2 linked regions of the Canis lupus familiaris genome follow. The protein of the gene in region 1 interacts with the protein of each later gene in a pairwise test. Links are inferred from orthologs where the notes say so. Each region holds a gene or a part of one and is shown in the gene's direction. Other genes may lie near its edges.

What was found.
Region 2: the proteins of UBASH3B (region 1) and DOC2A interact in binary tests that used the Homo sapiens proteins (3 or more experiments, as listed by UniProt). The link is inferred for Canis lupus familiaris from reciprocal best matches to the Homo sapiens genes UBASH3B and DOC2A.

Annotation. Positions count from the first base shown.
Region 1 is NC_049226.1:11,544,663-11,548,308, reverse strand, and holds part of UBASH3B (ubiquitin-associated and SH3 domain-containing protein B), read left to right. Parts: intron 1-1,623; coding exon 1,624-1,753; intron 1,754-3,086; coding exon 3,087-3,207; intron 3,208-3,646. UniProt on the Homo sapiens protein: Interferes with CBL-mediated down-regulation and degradation of receptor-type tyrosine kinases. Promotes accumulation of activated target receptors, such as T-cell receptors and EGFR, on the cell surface.
Region 2 is NC_049227.1:18,208,140-18,211,885, reverse strand, and holds the start of DOC2A (double C2-like domain-containing protein alpha), read left to right. Parts: upstream 1-1,007; 5' UTR 1,008-1,322; coding exon 1,323-1,366; intron 1,367-1,651; coding exon 1,652-1,929; intron 1,930-2,303; coding exon 2,304-2,383; intron 2,384-2,605; coding exon 2,606-2,680; intron 2,681-2,787; coding exon 2,788-2,897; intron 2,898-3,746. UniProt on the Homo sapiens protein: Calcium sensor which most probably regulates fusion of vesicles with membranes. Binds calcium and phospholipids. May be involved in calcium dependent neurotransmitter release through the interaction with UNC13A.

The DNA of each region.
Region 1 (3,646 bases):
GACAGTCGAGAAGGAGGTTGGCATTCTCCTTGCCAACCGAGTGGAAGAAGAGGGAGAGGGAGAGAGACAGAAGGGATTCTTCAGTGTCTTCACAGCTATAACAAAGCAATGAAATTAAGGGACGTGTACAAGCAAGATGTCAAGACTACTCCATCTATCCAGACATTTCAGGTCCTGAGGCTTTGATGAATCAGACAGTGAAACTGAATTTTCCTTAATGGTGATGTTTGCAAAGAGAACGCCTGTCTATCAGACTGTGCAAATGGCACTAGATTTTCTTGGTCTACAGTTGCTTAATTTTTTCAGCAGGTCTCCTGGGCTGCACATCACACTTGCTGACGCAGCTTTGTTAGGCTGCTGCTTCCCAGGTCCCACCCCAGATCTGCTGAATCACAATCTGTGACAAGTCGGGCCCAGGCTTCCCCGGTGACTCTGATGCGCGCAAGGGCTGAAATGTCTCGTTTTCAGGGCAGGAGGCTTCTGAAACCTTCGTGTCTAAGTAGGATGAGTCTGTATACAGTTACAGAGGGGGACACTTCAGAGTCCCCAAGTTATTAAAAATCATAGCATTTAAAAAGATGTTTTCCTGACAACCACTTAGCTTTATTATATTGAATATAAAAAGTTGTTTTCCAAGCTGAATTTCAAGGACTACTACCGTGTTAAAATTAAATATACCTGAACAGATGAGGTCAACAGGTACAAGCCAGGACTGGGCTGAGCCAACTGGAATGAATGGCTCCCCTAGTTCTAAAGAAGCAGGAAATCTAAAATGTAAATGCTCTCCTTTGAACACTGCTCGGTGATGCAGAAGGAGATGTTCATTGGATTTGCCTCATGACCATATTTAAATTGCAGTGTTTATTAGATAAAGCCTTTTGGAGGCCCTGTTAATCAAAGTAATTTAAACATGGCATAATTTGCTGCCTGTCAGCGAGACCTCTTTGGGGCTTCTGTAGTTAGTGTTACACCCAGAGATGAGAGTTCTTGGCTCACAGCTCTCTACATCTGGTGAGAATGGCCTCCTCTGAAATAATTCTGTACTTAATCGTCTGGTTGGAGGTATTATTACGATGGGGAGAAGGGCAGGGCGAGTGAAGACAGAGGAATGGGGGAGAGTGGCCACAAGGCTTCCCTGATCATTAGGACCCGCAGGCCAAGTGGTAGCGATAGTAAAAATCCTCTAATTTGTCAGTTCCGATGGAAGTCACCATGGACAAATTAAAGGCAACAGGGATTGGGTGGTTGTTGTTTTTTTTTTCTTTTGAGCCAGAGGAGTAGCTGGAAACAATGGTACAAAATTGATAACTCATTATTCTTTAACATGCCTCGGCGCCAGGCACGCCTGTGGCATGCTGATTGGCACAAAATCAGGGTCCCTTCCCCGCCCAGAGAGACGAACACATCTGTTCCAAGTACAGAAATCCATCCACCCCTCATTTAGTGAGTGCAAGGCTGCAGTATGAAACAAGATGTTCCTCTCCAGAAACGGGGTGTCCTCTGCTCAGCTGCCCTGCCCAGGGCCTGGGTCCTGCTACCGCCTGCAGTCCCATGGACCTCGAGGGTGACTTGCTGATGACTTCCACCTAAAACAGACACCATCTTTCTTATCTTCTCCTGCAGTTCTTACTCGATCTTAAACACAGCATCTAACGCTCTCTCATTTGGTGATGGCATGTTGGAGAGGCGGCAGTATGAGGACCAGGTTCTGGGGGAGACGGCGCCCCTGACTATCATCTGCCAGCCCACGCAGGTAACACTGACCAGCGGGGTCACATCCTCAACTCTACTCAGGATTCACTGGGCACTTACTTGCTAAGCAGGAGGGCTTGCCCTGGCTGCCCCAAAGGGTCCCCGATCTCTTGGGGGAGAAAGGGGCACAAAATCATAAAAGATACATAGGAATTCAAGGCTAGGAAGAGCCATGTAGGTGGTCCTGGCAGCATCTACCACGTGTGGGTCTAGGCTGGTAGAGAAGGTGGCTCTGCAAAGAGGAGGATGTGTTATCTGTAAAGTCATAATGGTTCTATCTCAGAGGTCAGTGTGAGATTAAAAAAAAAAAAAAAAAAGGCCCTTTGCACAGTGCCTGGCACATGGTGAGTGCTCACGTATGTCTGAGGGCTCGATATATGCCAGGAGCATTACAGAAGGGAGGAGTGGGGGTGGGGATCGTTCTGAACAACCAAGACAAAGGAAAGTTAAGGATCAAGAGACTAGATCACGTTGGCTTGGAGCCCAGGGCTTGAATCAGAGGAGAATGGGAAAAGAAGCAGGAAAGATCATCCCTCTATCCCACATATTAACCCTGTCAGGGCAACTAACCGGCCACAAATGTAAAGTGCTGGCCACACTAGCGAGACTGGGAATAGCCAACTATCGGAAAGAAGGAACATAGAAACATCTATAAGGATCCACCCAGCAGTGATAGAATCCAAAGTCATTTGGACATGCCTTTGACTAGACAGGCCTATTTCATCACTCAGAGGGAGCAACTGTCCTCCTGAACCATTTCTGGGAACACCAACAACGCATGTAGTCAGACGACAGCGCCAAAAGTGAGATCAGGATACTCAAAGCTCGGGGAGACCATGGGGCCAGATGGTCTAACCACCATGTGTTAGAGGTGAGGCAGACCGTTTTGTGATAAAAGTCCTTGCTCCCTGAAGTTGTTGATGAAGTATCCCTTTAGGGGAGGACTAGATGGCTGGCTGTACATACTGGCTAGTTTTCCCTCTGGGCCATAACTCAAGTGGTCTTCACGTTTTAGTACTGGCCAAATGCTACTCCTTCTAACCACCACAGCAACAGCAAGGGTGAGACGGTCTTTGCAACCCTCTGGTTTTGCAAAACAGCTGCAATTCATCTCATTCGAGCCTCAGAATAACTTGTGAGGTCTGTAGGATGAGTCTTACTGCCCCCATTTTACAGACAGGCCAACCTAAATCCGAGGTAGTTATGGGATTTGCCCTTGTTCTACACTGGTAGAATTTGTTCTAGAGCTCAGCTCTGTTCATCTGGCACCTGGCTCCAGGACATGTTCACTTTCTTATGTGCTTCCCCCACTAATAGCCTTTCTTTCCCTGCAGCCTCTGAGGGTCAGTAGCCAGCCCGGCCCTCAAAAGAGATGCCTCTTTGTGTGTCGGCATGGTGAGAGGATGGATGTTGTGTTCGGGAAGTACTGGCTATCCCAGTGCTTTGATGCCAAAGGTGAGTGGTTAGTTGACCTGCTTAGCATTGGCATACCTATTATGGCCTCTGGGGGGCACAGTCCAGCTACATTTGTCTAGATGGAGTCCTTTATGGTCTCTGAGCTATAGGAAATGCCTATAATCTGCCACAATGTAAGTCCTTCCTAATGGTCTTGAATGTTACCTGAAGGGGAAAGTGTCCTTGTCCCCATTCTATTAACTGGGACACCGGGGACCAAAGAAGGCAAATGTCTTGCCCATGGTCATTTGGCAGAGGCCTAGACAGGTGTCCTGATTCTGTGGCCAGAATTTCCTCCATTAAGTCACCCTGGATAATTTTGGTTCCAATTTCATTTGAGTGGCATGTCTTAAGACTGGGAGGTTTTCATCTCTCAGAATCTTCCTGCTTTAGGATGTGTGGTTGTTACTTTCACCTAAAAACTATCTCTTATCACTTT
Region 2 (3,746 bases), on another chromosome or scaffold:
AAGGGGACCCCGGCCCTTGGGGGCTGGCTGGACCACAGGAGAGAGGCCTGGACAGCCCCAGAGAAGAGGCGTGGGGGAAGCCACAGCCTCGGACCCGTCCCCTCCGTCAGACTGTGAGGTTCCCCAGCCCGGCTTGGCGGGGAGAGGGCCCCCCAGGGTCCCAGGCCAGCGAGCGCGAGCGGATCGGATACCGTCCCCCGGCCCACCCCGGGTGACTGCGGATCTCTAAGCCCCGCCCCTACGGATTTGGGGAGGGGAGGGCCCAACAACCTATTCCCTCCCCCGGGCGCTGTCCGTGGGGGAGGGGCGTGAGGAGGCGCGGGGGGGGCCGGGGAGGAGGGAGGAGGCGCAGCGTCGCCATGGCAACCAGGCGGGTGGTCTGGGTCCCGCAGGCCCGGGGTGGGGGAAGCGAGGAGCCCGCAGGGGAGGGAGGCGCCGCGGGCTCGGTGCCGGGGCAGGGGCAGGGGCAGGGGCGGGGGCCCGGGGTCTCCGGGGAGTTGGGGAACACCGGGCAGTTCTCGCCGCTGCTTCTCGGTGGCGCAGGGAGCCCGTGTGTCCGCGAGTGTGTGCACGCGAAGTTCTCCGGGGTGGGTTAGTGCATGTGTGCGAGCGTGCGCACGTGGGCGCAGGCGTGTGCGCGGGAGTGCCCGTGTGTGTGTGCGTGTGTGTGTGCGCACTCGCGTGCGCCCCTAAGTGTGCCCGGCGGGCGCGGGCGGGAGAGTCCCGCCCCCTCCCCAGCCTCCGGCCGCCCCTCCCCGCCCCCCGCCGCCTGCGCCGGCTGCATCCTCGCCTCCACCTCGCTCACCCCCTCCTCCCCGCACTTTCTCCTGCTCACCCTCCCTCCCTCTCGGCTCTCACCGCCGGACTCCGCGCTCTTCTCGCTGGCCGCCCCGGGAATCGCCGGCCGCCACCGCCCAGCCTGTCCCCGCCGTCCCCCCAGTGCTTGGGCACCTGTTGGAGGCAGAGACACAGGTGCAGAGGGCTGGGCCGCCGGGGGCGTGAGGGTGAGGGCGAGCGTGCGTGTTAGCCTGTGTGCCCACGGGGTGTTTAGCTCCCTGGAGGCTGCAATTTCTGGCTCGTCTTGAATTGCCGGTCTCAGGAGGAGGCATCTGAGGCAGGGGTCCCCGCGTTGGGCTGCAGGGCGGGGGGGCCAGTCAGGCAGGCGGGCAGATCCCGCGGCTGCATGAAGGACAGTGGGCAGGGAAAGCGTAGAGGGGTGCGTGCCCCCTGGGCCAGACAAGCGCCTGGTGCAGAGGGATGGACAGTGCCTGTGGGGCTGCTTCCGAGGGAGGCAGGAGCCCAGGGGCGGAGGGCATCCCGGGATGAGGGCCAGGAGCCGGAAAGATGACACCGGGACCATCCAAAGGTATGTGGGCACGGCTGAGGTGGAGCTAGGACCTGCCTGGGGGAGTGGGCTGGCAGCCCGGCGGGGGTGAGGGGGGAGCAAAACAGGGGTCTGGGGGGCCCAGGCTTCCTGTCTGCCTGCGGGCTGGTACAGGCCACCTTCTCCCTTGACACCTGGGCAGGGAAGCCCGGGAGGGCCCCACCAGCTGGGGAGGTGGCCGCCTGGCCGTCTGCCAACAGCCGGCAGGTATGAAGAATCCACCTGGGGCTCACACTCTCTGGGACCTCCCTCTCATCCTTTTCGCAGCCAGGGGTGCTGCATGAGGGGCCGCAGGGGCGACCGCATGACCATCAACATCCAGGAGCACATGGCCATCAACGTGTGCCCCGGGCCCATCCGGCCCATCCGGCAGATCTCTGACTACTTCCCCCGCCGGGCACTGGGACCAGAAGGCGGGGGCAGAGATCTCAGGGAGGCCCCTGCTCGGCTGGCGCCCCTGGCCCTGGCCCCGCCTGCAGCCCTCCTTGGGGCCACCACACCCGAGGACGGAGCTGAGGTGGACAGTTACGACTCGGATGATACCAGTGAGTCTGGGGGCTTGGATGGAGGGCCCCGGGGGCTGAATGGGGGCTTTGGGGCCCGGGGCTCTGCGGGACGCGTGTTGGGGGAGGCGGGCACTGCCGCCTCAGCTGCAGTCGGGGCGGAGATTACAGTTTCAGAAAGGCTCAATATTCAATATTTCTGCTGAGACACTCAGCCACCCACACAGCCCCAGTTGCGGCCCAGCCAGGGACCCAGACACTCGCGCACAGGCTCGCAGGCTGACAGCCGCTGCCGACAGGCACACACCTTCACCCGCCAGCACCACAGGCTCCACAGCCCGCCTGCCCGGTGGTCTCTCACACGCCTGCCTTACACATCAACTCAGGACTCACGCTACCTCTTCCCTCTTTGCCAGCCGCCCTGGGCATGCTGGAGTTCGACCTTCTCTACGACCAGGCCTCCTGCACTCTGCACTGTAGTATTCTCAGGGCCAAGGTGGGCACTCCCTGCCTCCCCAGCTCTGGCCCTGTGTGCCTCCCACCCTGGGGGCGGGTTCCAGGTGTCCGGTTTGGACCTGTCCTCCTTCCCCCGACCCTTGTCCCCCAGCACCCCTCTTCTTGACTCTCCACACCCCAAGGATCCACTCTGCAGAGGGAGGGAGGGAGGCAGGCAGCAGGGCTGGGAGCTTGCAGCCCTCTTTCCTTCTGTCCTCTGCAGGGCCTCAAGCCCATGGATTTCAATGGCCTTGCTGACCCCTACGTCAAGCTGCACCTGCTGCCTGGAGCCTGCAAGGTAATAGCCTTTGACCCAGCTGGTGGGTCTGTCCCCACCCTTCCCCTGCCCTCAGGCTCTGTATGTCTGGGGGACATATATTGAGAATCTTCGTCCCCACACCTCAGGCCAATAAGCTAAAAACTAAGACTCAGAGGAACACACTGAATCCTGTCTGGAATGAGGACCTGACATACAGTGGGATCACGGATGATGATATCACCCACAAGGTGCTCAGGTGAGGGCTCCATTCTCCCTGTTCCTGAGGATTCCAGTCAGTACCTCCTCTGAGAGCTCTTTTTGGCACCTTCTTTGGTTGGTTGATCTGCTTCCCATTAAGCCCTTCTCAGATGCTCAAGAATAATCACTGGCTCCCCATCCCCTTTGGCAGGAAGCCAAAATGTTTCCCTGGCATTCCTGCCCCCCAAACATTTCCTCCTACTGCTGCTCCAGCAGAGGACGGACTTCTTCAGACTGACTTCTTCAGGCTGACCAGGTTCAATCAGCCTGACCTTTGCCTGTTATATTTCTTACACGGAAAGTGCCCCCCTCTCTTGGCCAGCCTAAATACCATTCATTCAATACTTGAGGCTGTGCCTCCTCTTGGAAGCTTTCCCTGGTCTCTGAGAGCCCTCCTCAGAGCCCCGACATGTCTGCCCCTTCTGTTGCCTGTGCCCCCCTAACATCCAGTGCTAAGGAGTGAAGGAAACGTGCTCCATCATCCCAGGAGGTGGAGCTGTGGGGGCTGTAGTCCCCGACTGGAGACCAGAGACTGGAGTGAAGGGGACCATAACCCAGGGCTTTATCTGTATTCTTGGCAATGGGGAAAGTGGGGGAGGGCTCGCATGGGGACAGGGGCATGGTCAGGGTTGTTTTGGAGGTCACCCTGCTGGTAGTGAGGCAGAAAGTCTGGCCCACCTTTCTGATGTGAGAGCATTAGGCCTGAGTAGCTGAGCACTCACGGGTGCCCAGCGCTGGGCTCTGCCTCTTTACATCTATTTCTCTTGATCCTGGCAGTTGATGGAGGTGGGTACTCCTATCTCCATTTTATGGATGGGAATTGAGGCATAGGGAGATGACTTGGCCA